Linked DNA regions of Oreochromis niloticus. The protein of the gene in region 1 interacts with the protein of each later gene in a pairwise test. Links are inferred from orthologs where the notes say so. Each region holds a gene or a part of one and is shown on either strand. Other genes may lie near its edges. The genes, in order: zinc finger BED domain-containing protein 1, efhc1 and lrrc20.

Evidence for each region.
Region 2: the proteins of zinc finger BED domain-containing protein 1 (region 1) and efhc1 interact in binary tests that used the Homo sapiens proteins (3 or more experiments, as listed by UniProt). The two-hybrid records come from large-scale screens. The link is inferred for Oreochromis niloticus from reciprocal best matches to the Homo sapiens genes ZBED1 and EFHC1.
Region 3: the proteins of zinc finger BED domain-containing protein 1 (region 1) and lrrc20 interact in binary tests that used the Homo sapiens proteins (3 or more experiments, as listed by UniProt). The two-hybrid records come from large-scale screens. The link is inferred for Oreochromis niloticus from reciprocal best matches to the Homo sapiens genes ZBED1 and LRRC20.

Annotation. Positions count from the first base shown.
Region 1 is NC_031986.2:2,929,061-2,936,860, reverse strand, and holds the start of zinc finger BED domain-containing protein 1, read left to right. Parts: upstream 1-4,694; 5' UTR 4,695-4,731; coding exon of another isoform or gene 4,732-4,831; intron 4,832-7,800. Other genes in the region: dhrsx (polyprenol dehydrogenase), read left to right, coding at 4,732-4,831.
Region 2 is NC_031980.2:12,763,961-12,771,953, forward strand, and holds the start of efhc1 (EF-hand domain-containing protein 1), read left to right. Parts: upstream 1-4,874; 5' UTR 4,875-5,042; coding exon 5,043-5,108; intron 5,109-6,859; coding exon 6,860-7,081; intron 7,082-7,164; coding exon 7,165-7,452; intron 7,453-7,557; coding exon 7,558-7,707; intron 7,708-7,941; coding exon 7,942-7,993. Other genes in the region: eva1aa (protein eva-1 homolog C), read left to right, coding at 854-1,036, 2,254-2,633. UniProt on the Homo sapiens protein: Microtubule inner protein (MIP) part of the dynein-decorated doublet microtubules (DMTs) in cilia axoneme, which is required for motile cilia beating.
Region 3 is NC_031973.2:12,226,691-12,233,931, forward strand, and holds the start of lrrc20 (leucine-rich repeat-containing protein 20), read right to left. Parts: upstream 3,108-7,241; 5' UTR 2,905-3,107; intron 2,658-2,904; exon of another isoform or gene 2,363-2,657; intron 381-2,362; 5' UTR 362-380; coding exon 292-361; intron 31-291; coding exon 1-30. Other genes in the region: ndr2 (nodal-related 2), read right to left, coding at 3,806-3,958, 5,778-6,520.

The DNA.
Region 1 (7,800 bases):
GCCGTGCAGACAGCAGCGGTGGCGGCGACACAGGCGAAACAAATCAGAAGACCGGCCACGCGGAAGGCAGCAGTGGCGACAGAACAGGTCCGGAGGCCGGCCATGCCGAAGGCAGCGGCGGCGACAGAACAGGTCTGGACACCGAAGGGAGTGGCGGCGACAGAACTCGTTCAGGAGGCCGCCCTCGACGATAATGATGTCCAGCTAGGGCCTGGGGAGCGGCCGGCGAAGGCGAGGTGGTACAGGCCGAGCTGGATCTGATGGCGGTGTAGCAACCACGGGACCAGACAGCAGCGTGGCAGCTGCGGGACCAGACGGCAGCGTGGCAGCTGCGGAACAGGATGCTGCAGGCGACGGTGTGGAAGCTGCAGGCGGTGATGCTGTAGGCGACGGTGTGGGAGTTGCAGGTGGTGGAGCAGGTGGTGGCTGAACGGGCTCCCCAGAGCCGTCAGCGGACACGAGGATGTGATGGCCGGGTCCTCCAGGACCCCCAGCTGACGAGGTGTGATGCTGGACGGGCTCCTCGGACCCACCAGCTGACGGGGCGTGATACTGGCTGGGTTCTCCCGAACCCCCAGCTAAAACAGAGGACGACTGGACGGGCCCCCGGACTCTCCAGCGGAGACAGGTGGCTGAACTCTCTCTGCTCTCTCTTGGTGTCCGCTCTCTCTGCGGTAGAGTATCACTTCCTGTTCCTGCTCAAACACAGTTGTGTTTTTGAGTAGTCTGACAGTGGACTCATCTCTGTGCTTGTCCTGCTAGACCTCAGTGCTGCGTTCGATACTGTTGACCATAATATCCTATTAGAGCGATTAGAACATGCTGTAGGTATTACAGGTACTGTACTGCAGTGGTTTGTATCATATCTATCTAATAGACTCCAATTTGTACATGTAAATGGAGAGTCCTCTTCACACACTAAGGTCAATTATGGTGTTCCACAGGGTTCAGTGCTAGGACCAATTCTGTTTACATTATACATGCTTCCCTTAGGCAGCATCATTAGAAGACATAGCATAAATTTTCACTGCTATGCAGATGACACGCAGCTCTATCTATCCATGAAGCCAGGTAACACACACCAATTAGTTAAACTGCAGGAATGTCTTAAAGACATAAAGACCTGAATGGCCGCTAACTTTCTGCTTCTTAATTCAGATCAAACTGAGGTTATTGTACTCAGCCCTGAAAATCTTAGAAATATGGTATCTAAGCAGATTCTTACTCTGGATGGCATTACCTTGGCCTCCAGTAACGCTGTGAGGAACCTTGGAGTCATTTTTGACCAGGACATGTCCTTCAATGCACATATTAAACAAATATGTAAGACTGCTTTCTTCCATTTGTGCAACATCTCTAAAATTAGAAATATCCTGTCTCAGAGTGACGCTGAAAAACTAGTTCATGCATTTATTACTTCCAGGCTGGACTACTGTAATTCTTTATTATCAGGATGTCCTAAAAACTCACTGAAAAGCCTTCAGTTAATCCAGTCGTTCCCTAGCCTTTTTTGCCAGGCCCCCCTTTGTTTTACAAGAAAAATGTTCGCGCCCCCCGCACAAACACATCCTCCAAACACACACACCCATATTTTGTTTACAAACTCCATTGCGGTTTATTTCACACCTCAAACATTTAGTAAACAATTAAGCAAATACAAGTAAACGGCAATAAATTACAGGTAGTAATAAAATACACTACTAACTCTTTTACGCTACGTCCACACCTACACGGGTATTTTTGAAAACGCAGCTGTTTCTGTGCGTTTGGGCTTTTTGTCAACACGTAAACGGCGTTGCGATTCACCGAAAACGGAGATTATTTAAAACTCCTTTTTTGCGTTTACGTGTGGACGAGGATTACAGAGTTCGTCACGCAATGACAAAGGTATGTGCCTCTTTTCACGTCACGCTGTGCGCCACGTTATTGTTTACATGAGATGAATTGCAGAATGGCAGATAGAGACAAAATACTGTTAATCTGACTATCTTCAGGTTTTACACACAGTTACTGTCCCTCCATTTAGAAAGGCAGAGGCGTCACGGTGTAATTATTTTACGTGTAGTTGTTTTTTCCTGTGTAATAATATTCAACATTGCTGTCAATACATTTTTTTAAAAAATGTCTCTCTGTGCAAAATGGGTTCAAAAACAAAAACAGCTGTGGGATACTGTTTGTCCGTGATTTGAACCGGGGGAACGAACAAATTACGGCAGGATCAGCCTGATATTATTTGTATCCCACTGTAACTTTACTGCATAAAGAGCTAACATGTCCAAAATGTCAGGAGTAATAATGGATTGGATTTCATATAGCGCTTTTCAAGGCACCCAAAGCGCTTTACAATGCCACTATTCATTCACTCTCACATTCACACACTGGTGGAGGCAGCTACAGTTGTAGCCACAGCTGCCCTGACAGAAGCGAAGCTGCCATATCGCGCCATCAGCCCCTCTGGCCAACACCAGTAGGGTAAAGTGTCTTGCCCAAGGACACAACGACCAGGACTGAGAGCCCAGGGATCAAACCGGCAACCTTCCGGTTACAGATGCGCTTCCCAACCCCTTCACAACCATAAAGAAGAAATAGACTATACAAATAAGCTGTAATATGTTATATATAAACGTACCTGTCACAATTACGGGGACCTCACAGCACAAGCATTACTCCCAACCTATTATAACAGTGTCTTGTACTGTAATATATGTAATGTTTTATTTATCTGTTATCTTTACAAATGTCATCAAGTAAAGGGAGAACACAGCATGACACATGATCAAACAAGGAAAGTTTCTTCTTTAAAATGATTCATTAGTCGAGTGGACATCACATCATTTTTCAATCAAATACATGTTCAGTGATCACTCAGAACTGTCACATTATATTAAACAGAAACTGCCAACTGAGCTCTGAGAGTGGGCAGTTCATTTAATTTGTAGATTCAAGCTGCGCTTCATGTTTTTGCCCACCAGATGGCACCAAAGCAGACTGTATTGAAAACTTTGAGTAATTAAGCCTTCCTCAGTACAAGCTTCAACGCTTCAGAAAGCTTCATTAGGCCACCACTACTGAATAGCCATATTAGTTTTATTGTAGTGTATATGGTAGGCTAAACACCTACCGTCTGATTAATAGATGGCCTGCTCTAACTCCTGAACTACAGCCAAAGATGTGGAGAATGAATCTGCTGAAGACCAGAAAATGTCTGTTTGTTAGCAAAAGTATGTAGACAGGTGGAGTTACAGCTAGAGCTTTTTGAAAGGAGCAGTGTTACTAATTTAATTTGAGTGAATAAAGCATGTGACCATAGAGTGGAAAATCACTAATGCATTACACTGTGAGACAAAGAGGGAAGTGTTTCTGGAGATGCAGATTTGGGTTTTATACCCATATAATCTTATTGAGTGTGTGACTAATGACAGATTTGTTGCATTCCTTTTTGTTGGAATATCCAGCAGCATTACAAAAAGATCTAAACTGATTGGCCTTTGATTTAATGAGCTAAATATTCACTTTTAAAAACGGACTTTTATTCTAGTCTGAACATCAGTGTTATTGGTGACGAGATCAAGATTTGTTAAATATTTGCAATAAATCAATCATCTTTACTAATATTTATGCTTTTGTTGCAAAGAACCAGGAGGAACTAGATTAGAGGTGAGTTTATCTGAGAGACCGCTCAGGTTGGAGGCCCTAAAAATGCTCCTAGATTTCATTTCCTGGAGACTTTATCTGTGTGTCTATTTATTTACTGCCTTTTTGTGGCCAGCTGAACCTGTTCTTGCAGTCTGCATCATTGCAGTATTACAAATCAGCATAGATAATGTTTGGAGCATATCACTACACTGTAACCAGGATTTAGACTTAAAGCAGTATTAAGTTAAGCTTTAGTGTTTGAGTTTACATCATTCAGAGGGATGTTTCAATCCAAACTATTATGTGATAGATTACAGTCTCGTGTCACTGTAAAGCTCCCTCAGCAACAACAGAAATCCTCAACAGAAAATATCTGAGCCCCACTCATACAACAAGTTTGACATATTTTTATTGTCTGTAGGTCTTCCAGTTGGGACTGGTTAATGTCTGCCTAGGAATAGAAATTTCAGTTAGTATGGCAAGTTTGGTTAAGCTGGTGGAAAATATGACTTTAACATTTACCTGATGTGTAAACTAGTTATTAGTAGTGATGGTCTGTGAAGCTGAAGCTCCAGTGCATGTGACAAAAAACAAACCACACTGTGCTTCAGAAGCTCTGTGTCAAGGTACCCCTGTCCCACCACTGCGATATATTGTTTTATTTTGTATTCTATTTTTATTGTTGTTAATGTTGATGAATGGCACCTCATCTCTGCCCCTACTTTAACCCAGCTGCTATGGCCCAATAAGTATAACGTCTAAATAAGGCCATCAAACAGCTCACAGCCTCTTTATACACAGCGGGTTATACTATCAGAAACTACAAAGTACCAATACTGTTATTGTTGACATAACGACAGCAGGATGCATTGATTGTGGCTGTTCAAACTAAACAGTGTTCACAGCTTTAGCTGAATAACATGTGCTGAGGAAAAAGAAGAAAATGCGTTTCAGCTCATTTGGTTCCACCCTCAAGAAGTTATGACGCAAAGAGGGCGGAACCACTGACAGACTTATCCCAGTGAGGCGTCCACTCGGACTCATTAACGGAAGCACACTCGGACTCGGAAGCTTTTCGGTGTGGGAAGCAGAAGGATGTCGCCTCAGTCGGTGCTGGTGCCTCTCTTCAAACTGTACTTATGCGGAATTAAAGTTCTTCTCTACCAAATTTTCAACCGCTCCTTTACGCTCCCAGGTCAGCTCCGCTTCTCTCTCTTACAAAGCTCTCTGACTGTCTGCTCGTTTGTGCCTGATGCATATTTATCATGATCCATGTGCAGTACTGATGTCGTCATCGACAGAAGCGCGTGCAGGTATAAAGCTGTTCAGTCAGCTGTAAGAACTAGTCACAGGAAACGGAGAGTTTGAAGAACTCGTTAGTTGTCTTTGTAATTCTGGACCGATCGATAGTGTGAGGAAAATGTGATTTATGTCAGAGACGGGCGGTGAGTGTGTTTGCGGCTGAACAGGTGTTAAATAACGTTTTCTAACTCGCAAACGGTTGGATGCTGGGATGAGATTAAACTGAGATGATTCTTACGGTGAGTCCGTCTCCTTGTGGGCACCTGCGCGGGCTGTGACCCACCTGTACCTGCGCTGAGACGCAAAGTGACTCCGATTGCATCAGAATAATCATGTTTTCAAAGGAGGTTCATTTAATTTTCATTATCAATCATTTGTTTTTATTTCTTACACTGATTCATGTTTGTACACTTTCTGTGATGGTGAATGCACTGACTGTTGTCCCTTTACAACCACGTTTCTATGCTTTTTCTATTGAAGTGCATTAAAATTTCCCCAGGGACAAGGCTTCACACCTCACTGAGCTCATAGGCACTATAGTAAAGGTGTGACATAAGACCCTGCTTTGTCTTTAGAAATGCAAAGAAAAATCTGGTGGAGCTGTAACAGCCTGGGTCCATTAAAACAGTGACAGAGGTCATAAGTGGCGGCTCTCTGAAGCATGTTTTTACCAGCTATTTTAGTCCAACGTAAACTATGTTTATACAATATGTAATAAAATAATAGTATATGTGAATACAAACTTTTATTTTTAACCCTAACAGAACTCAGGGGTTAAAGTGGAGTTCAGCAGGTAGGGGAACATCAGCTGTAGTACTTTAACATATCTGAAAGGATCCCAGTGATTCGTGCTGTGAGCTCCAGCAGATCGCTGGCTGTGTCCCAATTCAGGGTCTGCACGCTTGAAGTACGCACACTACGCGTACTACGTACGGTGCGTACTACAAGTACGAGAAGTGCGGAAGTGCGAGGCTTGTGAAATGGGACGGTCTAGCCTTCGTCGCGCTGTTCAGGTTGCCTAGCAACCATGATACTAACCGCGAGAAATGTTTCATACAGCTTTGTGTGACAGAAATGAAGGAGAAAAATGTTTTGTTGTTCATTCATTTTTGTCATGACATCACTTTGATTAGTTGAGACCACAGGACTGTAAAACATGATAGTTGGGCTTCATTTCTGTACTGAACAGTCATTTCAAGATTAGTTAGTAAATAATAATTAGCTAATGTTGTTCATGAGACTAAAGTCATCTCACTGTGGTAATGTTAATATAATATGGACAATATTATAGTATTGGCAAAGATTCAAGTTGCAGTTATTTATATTTCCTATCACCTTAAATCTTCACTCAAAGACAAGTATCTCTGACAGTGTATATACAGATGTATTATATATAAGAGACGAACATTGTTCTTTCAATATGTTGGCATTATTACATTTGGCTCAATGCTTACATATATGTGTAAAAAGCAAATGTACGAGCTGTGATAACTGTTTCTGATTGAATGAAGATCAGACTGATATATGAAATATTCCTTTATTAGGTGAGAAAATCAGAGCATGTCATAACTGCTTTAAGTCATACAGAATAGATATCAGAGCCTTAAACAAACTGAGGGACCCAGTCTGTCCTCACTCTGGACACTTGCAGTTGTCACACATGGAAATCAAATGTGTGATAAGCTGCAGGATTCAAACACAAGTGTAACTTATAAATACATGTTCATACTTTTATTCCACAATCAGAGAGAAAGAAACAGAGAGAGAGTGCAGGACAGACAGACAGGTGACAGTCTCAGGTGTACACACTGCTACAAAACAGCACAAGAGAAGGAGGATTTAGTGTTTGTGTTATTACGAGTGCTAAACAAGAAGAGTTCCAGATGGTCCAGTGGACACATGTGTGACTCCTGTGATTAAAGCATCTTTCTTTCAGCTTAACGAGTGAACCGTCAGCTCGTTCAAACACACGTTAAAGTCCGTTTGGCTCGACACCACCGAACAGAGGCAGCAATATAACATAGCTAACATTAACAGTGCAGTGAATCCTGCTTGTGCCGTCATATTCAGGACTGCAAACCGAGCAGCATCACTGACTTTCAGCTTGTTGTGTTTGTGGATATATGACTGACTTTAATTATCCATAAAATCATCACATTCTCTGTAAGATTAAGGTCGACTATATATATATTTAGAAGTAGAGGCTTTAAAACCAAGTAAACGCTGAAAGTACAAACATCACTAATGTCACATAACTTTGCCGACACGTGGCCAACAGTAATGTTTTAATGTTCTTAAACATTCGCACATAAATAAGTGACATCATATTCAGTACTTACTTTTGACAGTTCACTCTTCGGCCGCTCCCTTCTGCCGTATTTTGCGGCAAAATTATCCACACCCACCGCCGCGCTATGGATTGTGGGATATATGGGACCACGAAGCGTGCACCGGACCACGCTTGATATTTGGGGAAATCGACGGCGCATTTGGAGTACACTTGGAATTGGGACAGCCGTCGTCGCGTGGCGGTGACGTACTCGCACTTAAAATGCGTACTTCAAGCGTGCAGACCCTGAATTGGGACACAGCCCCAGTGTACCTCTGATTAGCTGCCATGTGTGACCACTGCTGCTCCATAGTCAGTGTTGGGAAGGTTACTTTTAAAATGTATTCCATTACAGATTACAGATTACATGCCCCAAAATGTATTCTGTAACGTATTCCGTTACGTTACTCAATGAGAGTAACATATTCTGAATACTTTGGATTACTTAACATATTATCAAGCTTTTAACAACTACATGAATGTACTGTTGCTGTGTGACTTATTACTATTACTGAAGGGTACTTGCCATACTA
Region 2 (7,993 bases), on another chromosome or scaffold:
AGATAAAGAGAGCCCGACACACCTTAGAGACTCTGCAATTAGAGGTCATTCCTGCGTGTGACAAATCACCAGAGTATGCTTACCTTCATTGACAAAAGAAATAAAGCATGTAAAAATGACTATGCAACCACACACACACAGAGAGCTCAGGTCACTAAACTAAATGCTTCTGTTTATTTTGACTGTTTGAGGTTTGGTTGCTTTTTTCAGTGGAGCTAAACTTGCAGTAGTTCCACCATACCCCATAAACAACTACGTCAGGTAAACTAAAGGCAGCTGTAACATGAGTATGAATCCCTGTAATTAATTCATGGTGCTCCTGTTTTCTCTCTCTTTCTCACACTCTCTTTGCAGTGAGCGCACAACAAAACCCAGCTGGTAAACACTGAAAGAAGTGAAAAAAGAAAAATCTAGAGCAGGAAGTAGTCGTTCCCATCTATAAATAGACTTTTTTGTTCTAAGATTTTGGGAAACTTTTGAAATGTCTCCAGAGTGCAAACTTTTCCATGTGGTTCTCTGTTAATGACCTGAGTCAGAATGGATTTAACCGAAAAGGATGTTGTGTTATCTTCTGAATCACAAAGCTCCCTGTGAATGTGTACGTGTGTGTGTGTGTGTGTGTGTGTGTGTGTGTCTTATGCGTGACGCATCTTTTTAGAAAATTTATGTGATAAAATCTTCCCCAAACCACTGTGAGACTGTAGGCGACTGAGACTGATGTCATTACAATGAATCAGCAACAGCAGATTCTGGATTTACTGTAAAAGCAGCACCATCATAATGTAACTGTACATGTAGCTGCTGTAAATTACTCATTGTGTACTCATGTCCTGTTAATTTACATTTTTTCCAGAAAGGAAGAAACCCAGGGAGACGAACGCCGACGAGGAAAAGTCTTTTGAAAACGGAAAAGGAGGAGAAGAAAGAGAAGAAAGTCCATTGCGTCCCCCGGACATGAATCCCGTCATCAACTCAACATCGAGTGGCAACATGGCCCTCATTAGTAACGCACTGGCAGCCTACACTTACGTATTAGGTCGGGTAACATTGTTCTGAAATCTACTGTAACATCACATGTATAGCGTAATGTCTGGCAGTTAGACTTTTAGAGATCTTAACTGCATCTGCTTACGGAGTGGCCCCACAGTGTAAAGGTTAATGCATTCACCTTGCAGCTTGGATAAATGGGAGGGGTGCACCAGGAAGGGCATCCGGCGTAAAATCTGTGCCGAATCGAAATATGCAGATCCAACCGCTGTGGCAGCCCCTCGGGAAATAAGGGGCGGACGAAAGAAACTTGATCTCTTTGGGAAAGAGATACAGTTAGCAAACAAAAAGGCTGGACCTCTGTGTTCAAGAGCATTATCAGCTCCTGGTTGCTTCTTGGCCCATGAGATTAGTGACCACGGGACTGCACTGCATGGATTGATGTGTGTAAAATCCCCGTTTCCCATTTCTTGTCACTAAAAGGTGGGTAAATGTGGGCCAGAGGATGTAAGCAGAGATAATGTCTCTATACATTACACAGTGTGGGTCACCTGCTCTAAGCAGCTGCTAAAACAGTCACTGAAATAGTTTGCCTGTTTCCTGCTATAAACAGTTTATACATAGTGAAATGTGCAGCACAGAAGGTCAAATAAATACACAAGGCATGCAGTGAACATGAGCTTAGGTGGTTACTTAGATCACTTAGCTTTTAGCTTTCTTTTAAGGTTTCCTCAGAATGCAAAAAAGGTTGCACGTTATGATTTCAAGAAGAATTCTCAACGTCTTAATGGTACAAGAGAAATGAAATTGATTATATTAATGAACAATAATATAAACAGAAGTATCTGCAGCTAAGCTGGATGCAGAATGCAAATGCAAAGTACCTGCATGCAAAATGCAAGGAAGACATGAAGGATTCAAAGCTGAAAATGGCATTCATTCATTGAAAAGGGAGAGCTGTTCTCGTCTCGTGCAAATGGAGCTAGAGTCACTTTGGTTTTTTCAGTGGTGAAACACAGATCCCATCAGAGCTGTGACATCTGTTGAAGATGAAAACCAGGAGTAGCAGAATCTGTAAGACATCTTAACTAAACCAAGCCACGTGAACACTTGCTGTGCAGACAATGTTCATTACACTGAGTGAAACGCATCTGGCTAAACAGGTCAGGAAAAAATAAGAAACCCAGTGAGAAAGACTCAGCTTAGTGTTCGACACATTTTCCTCATAAAGTCAACTAACAAGTTCCAATTTCTCTTCTACAACAGACCACCCAGAGAGGGCTGCACTATTCTTTGTCTGCGGTGTGTGTTTGGGCCTCTTCCTCACCCTCTTTGCCCTGGTAGTACAGATCTCCTGTCGCACCGACTGCCAGCCCCGCCAGCGGCCTCCCGCCAAGAAACGACCGCGTCCTCCCGACTCATCCTCCGATTCCAGCGACTCGGACTCAGACTGGGACACCACCTCAGATCTGTCGGCGCGGAGACACCGGCGCTTTGAGCGTACGCTCAACATGAACGTGTTCACGTCGGCGGAGGAGCTGGAAAGAGCACAGAGGCTTGAGGAAAGGGAGCGAATCATCCGGGAGATCTGGATGAACGGACAGCCGGACATCCCAGGGACACGGAGCCTCAATCGATATTACTGAGGACTGCAGAGGAACGATTGATAGGCGGCTTACTTAACTCGAACAAAAATTTAGAACACACTTGGGTTGGAGTGGAAAGGGACAAGGCCTCGATGAAGCTTTATAAGCATGAATGCAAAAGCAGCTGGACTCATACTGATGAGAAAAGTCGAAGGTACTGCAGACTTTTAAAGAAAGTCCTCCTTCTCTGCTGATTTGCATATTCCTCTGGGTATCATAAGCTATTCCCCTTTTGAGTAAAACAATAAGCTCCCTTTCTGTATGGTAAGCTTACCTCTTGGCTGGAGGAAGCAAGAGGTGAAAGGCTGCACTGCCTTGCCCATGACCTCCGCAGGCCTTTTTGAAGTGGGGATTTATGGGTTAGCTGCCTTAGACATACATAGGCCTGCAGAGACTACATGGTGACTGAAGGACCAAGGCCTCAGACAGGTCTGTTTATACAGAACCCCAGGCAGCTGGAAGAGACTGTGACACTTACAGCTTTATGTTCTGTACCCTCCAGTATTCAAGTGTGAACTTTAGCAGAGGGGTAGCATAAAGCAAGTGCACTTGACAATGTAAGATAATCTTTCCACAGTGAATAACCATGCTGCCTTTTGAGCTTTATAAAACCAAAAGATATTTTTGTGGGAATTCATCTCAGCCCTTCTGAAATATATTTTAAAATATTTAATAGTTTATTAATATTGCGTATTTTTGTTGTCAAGTATGGTTTATTATGAGATATTTTTATACTTGGCGAAGGTTGTCTGGTCTAGCACCTCAGGGATGCAATCCTAGTGTTTCTGTGTTTGGTTGATGTTTTTTTTTTTTTTTTTGGTTATTAAGAAGGGGATCGGCCCATTTAAACCGCTGTGCCAGCATTTAAAGAGGAGAACTAGAAATATCATATAAAGAGCCTCAAAGAGGTTTTAGTGATTTTAAACCTTATTTTTGATACAGTATGTTTAACTCACAGTGCAGTGCCTTTTCCAGCTGTTACATCTCTTTGTCAGAAATGAAGCTGATGAGTCTCTCTGTAACTGGTCAAATTATTTATTGATTGGAAATCATAAATTCATCTCGTTGTATGCATATTCCCTTTGCTGAGGTGGACCATGCGTAAAAGCTGAATGCGTCTGTTAAACATTGCACTTCTCCCCAGATGTAAATGTGCATTACCAGTAAATGCCAATTTCTATCAGTGACTTTGCTACAAAATATTTTTATGGTCTTGTCTCATGACAGATGTGTGAATTTCAGGTCTTGCGCCATCCATGTATTCATTTCAAAGATGCTAAACAGATGCCTGTGGAAACCAGCGCTGCAGAAAGTGGCGAATCATGTCGCCACTTTAATCTTATAACCAGTTGACAGTCCAGTTCTGCTCGTGCTTCCCTGACTTCAAGCGTAGAGTTAGTTTTCATAAATCAGTTTGGTATTTTTCTGAGCATAATTAAAGAGTAAACAGGACATATTAAGGTCATCTTCACAACACTCCCTCCACCATACATACACCCTGCACTTCTCCTAGTTTTTTGTTTTTTTTTTAATAACAAAGATATTTGTTGTGTTTAATTTTGAATGGGATTAAAATGTGCCAATAACTGGTGACGTGAGAGACCAAAATATGACTCCTGTGCTTGGAATAAACTGTGTTAAAAAATAACGTCTTTTTTTTTCCTTCTGCACTTTCTTCTGAAAAAACAAGCTGCAACTGTGTACATTGACCTATATTTTTGACTTTAAGACTATATTGTGAGTCTCAGGAAAAAGAAGACGCTTTAGCCTAATTCAAGGACTGAGAATACAGGGAGTTCATAAATAATACTGATTTACACAAGGAGGCCATAAGACAGCATGAAGAAGAACTCGTGAGCCAGTGGCTCACTGGATCTGTAAGATTTGTTATTGAGCGCCACCTTGTGATGAAGACAGATCTCTACAGTGTGTTTTAATGCAGCACATAAGGAGTGAAGTTAGTGACTGCAAATCACTTTGGCTAGCTATACAAAGTCAGCACAACTATATAGATAAATGCATTTGTTTTAGTGGGTATAACATAAAAAAATACTGCATCAAATTAAAAAAAAATAGAAATTATAACAACTTAATATCATGTTATTATATTGTATTTTATTTTTGCCGTTTTTATTTCTTTGTTTCTGTGTTTGCCGCTGTGAATTTCAGTATTTCCTTGGGTTTTTACCGCGAATTTAATTTTGTTTTAGGAAATATTTGCTTTGTTTCCATTGAGACGCCCCTGTCGTTACCATGGATACCATAAACTTACCACGGTGAGAGCTCTCGTGCAATTTTACACACCAACGAAACCTGCTGTTAAATCCACAAATTACACAATTACCACTGCTAACATCTTGTGCAAAGGAGGAGATAAAAAATATATATATATATATATCAAGACTGGAAATGTCTTGTACCTGGAACAGCCACGGACTACCATTTTTACCGGGATATACATTTCGAGATGTGACGGTAAGAATATGATTAAACAAAACTATAGGGTTTGCTTAGTAGTTTGAAACATTAACGATTGACAGAGTTTTACTTCTTTTCTTTTTTTTTTTTTTAAATATTTGTCGATTATTTTTTAATAATGCAGATGTCTTCTTACATTCCTCCACTAGTTAGGTTGTTTAAGTTGCTAAAGTACTAGCCAGCTCTCGAGTGACCTTTAAAACATCCCGGATGTTCTCTAAAGAGTCTTTGATAATTATTGGTTCTTTTATAAGGTTATTTTATTTTACCAAGCCCTAATAAAAATGAACAGCAATGCTCTGAATCATAATAACACATAATTATTATTATTTTTTCATAAAATTAACAAATTCACTGTTGACAGTTAACACAGAGAGAATTTATCCCAGGATTGTTGCTATCCATTCTTGCTATACTTTAGGGATGTTATTGTTATTTTGTCTTCCTACAGGCATAGCGCTCAATACTTGATCTACAGTACTGTTCAGTAGTCTTGAGCCACCCCTCGGAAATGAGAAATGGGTGCAAGAATGTATTGGAACATGTGCAAACATACATGGGAATACAGTACTGAAGGCAAAAACTGAGTTTGTACAATTCTAATCACCCTGAAAGTCAATATTTGGTCTGAGCACCTTTATTCTTCAACACAAACAGAACTCTTAGGCAACAATGCTTGTCATTTCTTTAAGTAGTGTTCGTGAATAGTTCCCCAGGCCTCTTGGGGGACATTTAAAAATCTTCTTTGGATTCTAGCTGCCTTTTGTTACATTAACAGGGGTGGTAGCTCAGGAGTTAGAGCAAGTCATCTACTAATTGGACAGTTAGTGGTTTGATCCCTGGCTACAAGTATGGCCAAATTTCCTTGGGTAAGATACTAACCCCAAGATGCTCTCCAATGTGAGTGACTGGTTTATAAAAAGCACTTGGGTGAATGATGTTGGATTGTAGGGAGTAGAAAAATGCTATTTAAAGAATTATCAGAACATTGAGGTCTGGACTCTGGGGAGGCCAGTCTATCACTGATTGTGCTCCCTTGTGTATTTTTCTATCCAGTTATGCCTTCACCGCATTGGAAGTGTGTTTTGGCAAAAAACAAAAAACAAAAAAAAAGGTTTCGGCAATTTTATGGATTGACATGATTGATCAAACTCGGTTCATAATTCAATTAATTTTGACACCGCTGTCTGAAATTCAGCCCCAAACCACAACAGACCTCCACTGTGTTTTGCTCACGGGTGCCTAATAAACTGTGTTTTCTGTGTTCTGTGTTAATGGGAACAGATGATGTGTTTTTGTGACAGTATACTAGTAAGATAACTAGAGATATATTTTTAGATTGTTATGTTGTAGTTTTCTGCTATGTGTAGACAACACTGGCTCATTGCTTGAGTTAGGTGTCTTTTTTAATGCTTCAGTCATTCATAGGTCAATGTCAAGTGAGTTAACAATTAAAGAATTCCTCTAAAAATGGTCAGGAACAAGGACTTGAATTAAAATCCTTGAAAAAGCAGCCAATAGAACAACGTTAAAAGACCTTAAGAAAGCCTGGAGAATTATTGGCTACTTGGAACAAAATATACACAAGGGGTGGCTCAAGACTTGCACAGACTACTGTAACATTGGACAGAACACTCCCATATTGGTATTTAAGTGTAAACCACATCAATTAGTGATAAGTGCTTCATATAATTACATTTCTGTCTGTATTTACCTGAGCTAATTTATTTCTTCCTCTGTGTTTGCAGAAGTCAGCCTTCCATCGACCCCAAACTCTGAGCTATAGGAATGGTTATGCTCTGCCCCGACGTCCCACTGTGGGCATTGGCAACGACCCTCTTTTATCAGAGCAGCTCACTCAACAAGAGATTAGTGAGTTAGCCTTCGAGACACCTGACCTTACTTATGGCCCCTTTGGTAAAAGAGTACATGAAGACTTCCTCCCTGCTCATGTGGCCCTTGACAAGAAGGTTTGGTAACACCTATAGTTGTAAAACTCATAAAAACATAAAGGTTCTTCATCTGTTATTCATCACTACCACCTGTCTTGCAGGCGCTGCGCTACTATGGATATTTTATGGAGGCTATTTTGTATTCCCCTGAAGAAGAGTACCGTGTACGCCCTGTGGTAATTTACTATTACCTAGAGGATGACAGCATTTGCATTATCGAGCCCACAGTAGAGAACTCTGGGATACCACAGGGAAAGCGGATCAAACGCCACCAGTTGCCCAAGAATGAACGTGGAGAGCATTACCATTGGAAAGATCTCAACCTTGGTATGGACCTGGACGTGTATGGGGTCAAATACCGCATTACCCAGTGTGATACCTTTACTAAGGTACAACCTTATGTGTTTGAATGCTGTGGAAATGAAACTATGCATTAGAAGTCTGCTGTTATAAATACACTTCCTGCGTGTTCTGATCTCTCATTCTTTGTACAGGAATTCATGGAAAGTGAAGGCATGATTGTAAATGACCCTGAGCTAATGCCAGCGGATCCTTACATCATGCGTCGTGAAAACCCTCCACCGTGTCACACTACACCTTCCACATTTGATAATTTGCACAAGTTTCTCAAGATGGACCGCAAGGTAAATGAAATTCTGTCCTTTCCAAGCTGACTGTGTTACATTTATCACGTTTAGCACTGTCACATCACAGCAACGTCCAAGGTTTGAATCCACCAATCTTGATTTGTGTTAGAGTTCTAATAAGTGTTAGAAATTAAATTCCTGGATTGGGTATCCCTGCCATGAAATAAATGGCAGATATAATAGAGGCATGCCTGTATTTGTAGTTTCATTCTTCTACACTTTTTTGGTCAGGTGTTACGCTTCTTCGCTCTGTGGGATGATGCTGACTCTCTATATGGGGAGT
Region 3 (7,241 bases), on another chromosome or scaffold:
GGAAAGAAGCAAGCATGCATTTTGACAGGTCTGCGGAGAAGAAGAAGAACATAGTTATAAAATAATCAAACATTAACATTAACACAGTGTAAATCTATAATTAGTCTGACAATTACACATTATTACTTACTATTCTTATTATTACATTCTGGCATTTCAAGTTATGAAGCCGTCAAATTTAAGCCTATGTTGCCACCTGCTGGTACTATCTCTGACAACAAATTCATTTATATGCTCTGAACAAAGATTAAGTGAGAGACAAAGGAAAGAATATGTTAAAGTGTATCTTACCCACACTATCTTTTCCCTCCTCTACGGTAGCATTAATCCTCCGGGCCACTTTTGCAACAGCCTCAGCCATTTTTCTGCTTTAACTTTTCCTAAGAGACACAATGCAACATTACACATACCTCCACATATAAATGGTAAGATGATAAAATCGTAACTACACTATCAGTCAAAGCTGCTGCCCATGCTGACATCCCACTGAAGTCAGCACAACACAGTCGATGCCTGTTTTATCTTTAGCCACAGGCTAAAAATGAACCTTCTAAGGCTAAATCTCATTAAAGATTGCTAGTACTGATTAATGTCTCACTTTAGTTGTTTAACGTGGACACACTCCAAATTTTTGTGCACTTCTGGTTTTATTTACACAAGGCAATTTCTAACAGAATTTAATGTAAAGGCCTGACCTCCAAGTGTATTAACAGCACGAAGTCAGATGGATTCATATTCTTCTTCATATTCTTTTCTAGCTTAATAAACGTAGCACTGGCACAATATTAAGGTCTTAGTTGTTTGGTTATCTACATTTACATTCTGAACTGGTTAAGTTTTTATTACTAGTTCTGTTCGTTTAGCACTAATTTGTACTCAAAAAAATGATTATCAACAATCAAAAAATAAAAAATGATCAGAAAAATTAGCAAGGATTTTTTTATTTGTTCCAGTAGTCACAAACAAAAGACAGCTCAGGTTAAACAGTTGAGTTGTCTTCTTCTTGTGACTGTTTTATGGGCTGACACAGTGGATCATCTGCCTCTATCTCACCCTACTTCTAGCATCCTTCTCTGTCACACAAACTCTCTGCATGCCATTTTTCACTACATCCATAAATCTTCTCTGTGGTCTTCCTCTTTTACTCCTGCCTGGCAGCTCCACATTCAGCATCCTTTGTTCAGTATATCCCTCTGTACATGTTTAGACCATTCCAGCCTTGCTTCTCAATCTTAGTTTCCAAACTGCTCAACCTCAACTGTCCCTCTCATATACCCACTTCTAATCTTATCCATTCTCATCACTCCCAATGAAAACCTTAAGATCTTCAACTCTGCCACCTCCAGTTCTGCCTCCTCTCTTTTTCAGCAGTATTATTTCCAAAACATACATCATAACAGGTATCACTAAGATCTTGTAAACCTTTCCTTTCACTCTTGCTGCTTGCCGTTTCTGTCACACATCCCCCCAACACTGGTCTCCACCCACACTATCAAACTGCCCTTGCTTTTCAGCTCTCTTGTCCACTGTCTGTTCTGTTGCTTTGTTTGGTTGACCACAGGTATTTAAAGTCATCTACATTTACTGCCTTTACAGGTTCACTGTTGCACCTGTCTCTCTCTCACACGTGAAATCTGTCTTTCTTCTATTGACTTTCATTTCTCTTCTCTCTAGTGCATATCTCCACTTCTAAACAATCATCAAAGTCCAGGGGGACTCCTACCTGACATCACCTGTCAACCTGTCCATTGCCAGTGCAAACGAGAATGGGGCTCAGAGCCGATCCCTGATGAATCACACCTCTGCCTTTAACCCATCTCTCACTTCTGTCACACCTCACCACTGTCTTGTTGTCCTCATACATGTCCTACACCAACCTAACATACTTCTCTATCACTCCTGAATTCCTCTTAAGAGTACCACAGTTCCTTTCTTGGGACCCTATCATATGCTTTCTCCAGATCTAGAAAAAGACACAGTGCTGTTCCTCAAATTAAAACAAAATTAAATTAATTTGAAACTATCTGTTAATTTGTGGTAAAGTAATATTAAAGGCAACTTATAAAACATTTGTTACATTGAATTACAGAGTACTTGAGAAAAATTCACCTTTTGCCCTTCAATATTAAAACGCATTAAGTCCCCAAAGTGGAAACAGTAACATAAAACCCCAGAAACGCTGCTTCAGTGGAGCCTTCATGAAGATCACTTTTCACTTCTGGTTAACCATAAAGCTAGTAAACAAAGCATGTATGCTAACATAAAAATCTTTAGACCTACGTCAGACCTACACTTCCAGACTAATATAATTTCCCCCAATGACAGACATATAGATATGCTCTGTGTCAAAAAAGTCACTTACCTCAAGCCTGCTAGTGTTACCAAAACGGGCAGCTGCCGGTGTTAGCTAACTTAGCTTCAGCTTCTCAACTCACCAGGCAAGTTTAACGAGTGTGTATTTTTAACCAGGGGAGAGGCTGGCTCACTTGTTTGCTGCTGCGCTATTTTTTCGGTCAGTACGATACATTAGCATCACCTCATATAAGCAAAGAAGTTATCAAACAATGCAAAAGCAAGTTAATGCTTAGCTTCGGTTAGGGAAACATGAGCTTCGGTCAGCTTGCTAGCTAACAGACGTGATATTCACGAGCGTCAGTCCTGCGCTTTGAAATTGCAGAACACGAAAATTTAAAATATAAAACAAAAAAATAGCGTTATACACGAATTCCATAAGTAATAAGGCGCAAATACCACAACTAAATAACTTAAATCATATTTAAAATGTATTAAACACGTATAAAAGATTTTTTTAAATAGTTGCTGGTTAATTCAACTATAATTAAATAGTTATAACCACATCTGCCTGAGTGGAAACTGATATTACGAAGTTAAATGTTGTCTTACCTCTGTGTCCTGGTCAGCTATTGCCAGTCTGACCTCTGCCATAGTCATGAATCTGGCAAGTTCCTGGTTAGTCAGTATATTTTCAAAGGATTTGAATACAATGAGCTCTATTGCTTTAGAAGAATAGAACCTAGTTTAGCATTGTTACAACAAACTGCAACTTTAGAGTGTTGGCTGGATATTCCTTTTACAATGCTTTATTTTGAATGTAAGAGGAATTTGGCAGTCACTTACTGTAGATGACTGAAACAGCTAGAAAAGTCCACCTATTTTGAGTGTGAGTGCTTTTGTGAAACAGTTCACACACAATCCTGTTGCTAAACATAAGCTTCACCATGCTATTTGTCATGAAACTGTAGCATCTTAAAAAACATATAACTAGACACCATATAATTTTTAACCAGCATAACAAAATACATATTAAGGGTGCAACATGTACATATAAGTAATTTTATTTTAATATTTACAATAATATAACAATATAAATAGCCATTATAACAATATACACAAATGGTAGTCAACAATAAAACTGTGCTGAAATATTAATCAGCATTACCATTAAATATTTACAATTATAACAATTGATAATTTAAAGTGAATGAACTTCAGTTTGTGACAATAGGTGAACCCCATTTTTGAGTTCACATTTTGGTACATCTCAAGATGCAACTATTCTAACAAACCAAAGCCTACATCACACATCAAAATGTTGTCTCTGTACAACTCTCCGACACAGTCTTGCAGTGCTTTCTTCCTTCTGTATAAATGTTTTATTTTATTTTATTTTATTTTATTTTATTTTATTTTATTTTATTTTATTTTATTTTATATTCAGAAATTACTTGGTTCTGTCAAGAATTTCTGTACAGTGTTAAGCCTGCTCTGCAGCTGGTTTTAGCTTTCACTGGCACCCGCACTGATCCACAATCATATCCTCGTGGTGTCGAAGGAGCATCTCTCCATTTTCATAGTACAACATGCTCAGTGGGCTCATTTTGGTTGGTGCACAGCAGGGTGAGGCCACTCTGTCGGGGTGGAAATGCTTCAGGAGACTCTGGAAAAAGAAAGAGAGAGGCTTTAGGTCAGTTGTAGATAACTGCAGTTCTTTAAAGAAATCTGGTAATAGCGTTATCCTGTCTTAGCTTACTGACATACTGAGCCACTTACTGTCATCTGATATTTGCTATTCAGCTTTTCACTTAATTTAGTAAGTTGTTTTGCTTTGTTGATTGTTGTATTTTGAACATTTCTGTTCATTTAAGCTATTTGTTATACGTTTTGTTGTGTTTAACATAATATTTTGAACCACTTTAAACCACAGACGTTCTGATAAATAATTGTCATATTTGAGATTAAAAAATGATATCTTGTTTTTCCCTTTTTCATAGTGTGGAAAGGGAGTACAAACAGATTTGTTATCATAAAAAGTTTCAAATCCTCATGTTTTACTAAATTAGCAAAACAAAAAATAATAAAACAATTATCATAGCCCTGCGACAGACTGGCGACCTGTCCAGGGTGTACCCTGCCTCTCGCCCTAAGACAGCTGAAATAAGCTCCAGCCCCCTGTGACCCTGAAAAAGATAAGTGGTAGAGAATGGATGGATGGATGGCAATTATTTCATTGTAACATTGTAACACTGTACAAGAACGTAGAAAATTTGACCCTTCCAGGGCTCTCTTGGTTGTTTTTAACAACCCACAGACCAGTTTGCCACACAAAAGTCAAAAGAATGTGATGTTTTTGCATCTGTTTATTTACCTTGCCTCAACCCCTCTCTTCTAATTCCCTACAGCAGGGACTATAGAAACTCTAACTAATGTTAAATTGTTCTTTTTTATTCGTTTGCAGCTGATGTTACATATTAACCATTGCCAGTATTTCTAAGTCACACCTCAGTGGCTAACCTTGGGCTTGTTTGCTGCTGGGAAGTACTGAATGAACAAATGTAAAAAAACAAAAAAAAACACACAAAAAAACTAGTAACTATGATTCATATTTGCATAGTGATTCAAGTATTTGAGATGGGTAGAAAAACACAGGAATATTTTTTTTTATATAGTTTACCATTACTGTTCTCTACTGTTTGTAAAACCCCTTTGGAGAGGCCCTCCACCCTTTTTCTTCAGTCCTAACTGGTGTCAAGTTAACATTGTTAAGACATCCATCAGACAGCCACCGCCACACACTTGACCAGTTTGTAGTGCATTTTCACAATGATATGTCTCTGATCTAACACATTACTGTAGCTAAATGTCTCAATTTTTTTCTTTTTAGTGAACAAAAACATTATTACATTATTACTAATAATGTATTACATAATACATTACATTACATAATTAGATAAACATTATTTGACTCAAGAGCCACTGAGGACTTCCGGTAAATTGAGTTAAGTGGTATTTTTGCTTGCCTGCAGATTTTTCATAGTTGTTATCATTTTTGATCACGTAAAGTTTATTTTATTACATATTAGTCTGAAGTACTGTTTCCATAAGTTGTACTTTAGTGGTTTAGCTACAGTTCAGCCACTTCCATTGTGAAGTAATTGGTATTTTAAAAGTTAGCAGAATTGCTTTAAATAGATAGATAGATAGATAGATAGATAGATAGATAGATAGATAGATAGATAGATAGATAGATAGATAGATAGATAGATAGATAGATAGATAGATAGACAGACAGATAGATAGATAGATAGATAGATAGATAGATAGATAGATGTGGTAAGTGGCTCAAACTCCAAATTGTCCCTGATGCATCCATCTGCCAGTGATTGTGTGCATATGAATTTTTAAACGGTCTGCATGCAATGTTCCTATGATGATAATATGAATATGTGTAAGAACAGAAAATCTAGATAGGCACTCACCTGCATGTAGGCATGATTGGTTGGATTTAAGTCTTCTCTCAGAGGACTAGGGCAGGAGCCTTCACAGCGGTAGGCATTGTACTTTTTAGGAAAGACAATCCAGGACCCCCAGCCAATCTGATTAAAGTCGACATACAGGTCCACTTTGCGACAGAGTGATTTTTCGCTCACTCTTTTGAACAGCTGTGGGGTTCTTGCTGTTTGCTCTCTCTGGCCCCGTTTGCTCCTTCGCCTCTTTTTGATTTCAGCAGGGGAGAAGAACTTGGATTGTTCAGCTGTATGGAGTAAGCTCGCTTTAGCCTTTGAGTTTTCATCAAACCCTGTGTGTGAGAAGATAACCAGCAAGGCCCGGTCACTCACATCCTGGTCTTTTGTCAAACTTGCTTCATAAACGAGCTCATCGGGAAGAAGCAGGCCTCGCCTTTTCTTTATCGCTTTCCTTCTTCTTGACACTCGCTTGTGGCGAATTCTTGTTGTTGATTTCTCTTTAAGCCAGCTCAAGAGGGGATTTGTCATGTTGAATACTTTCCAGCTCTGCGATGATGTGACTAGTGACGATTCTGTGAGCAGTGCCAGCAGCTGCTGATCCTGGTCATGGTGGTGATAGACCTCCACACTAATGTTGGAAACATTCATTGTCCGAGGTAGCTTGATTCTCAACTCTGCTGCCTGGATTTCTTTGTCAGCTCCCAGCGTGTGGAGGTCAAAGGTCGCCACCCAGGATCTATGTCTGTACGTCAAATCTGATATAGCAAAAATGGAAGAATTAGCATAATTGAAGAGCACTTTGTATGACACAGATTATAATGACTGATTATTATGCCAAAATCAGGACCATTATTGTGTGTTACTGATGCATGTAAACCAACAAACAACCACCTGTGTGGGAAATTAAAAAAAACAAAACATCACCATTATTATATTACCAAACATTAGATTGCTGTCTTTCCCTCCTCACCACACAGGTGGTAGATAGCTGCAACTTTGTTAGCCTGGTTTTGCTGGAAATCTATTTCTCTAAGCGTTTTTCCTTCCTCAAAATCTCCAAGTGCTTGTTAAAGGTGATCACTGGATTGTTGAAGGTTACTTTTCTGATAATGTAGGGTCCTACCAAATTAATAAACTTATGTAAGGTATAAGTGCAACATATATCTTAACTATGACATGACATTTTCAGTGTGCAGCCTGTAACAGCTTTATTAAAGAAGATGCAAATCAATAAGAAGGCCTACAGCTTCAACCTTATGTGTTTTGCTTGTTTAGTGGATTTAATCGGCCAACAGGAATTATTTTAACCTAAAATGTTTTTCAGTTCAATTGAAAGTTTATTTACCTCATAACAGAAGTCAGTTAAATTTAAAAAATGAAACATTTAATGAACATGCAGGCTTATCTGGTGAGAAAATAATAATATATGTCCTCTAGAACTTCATGATGAGAGGATTTCAGTAATCAAAGCTGCTT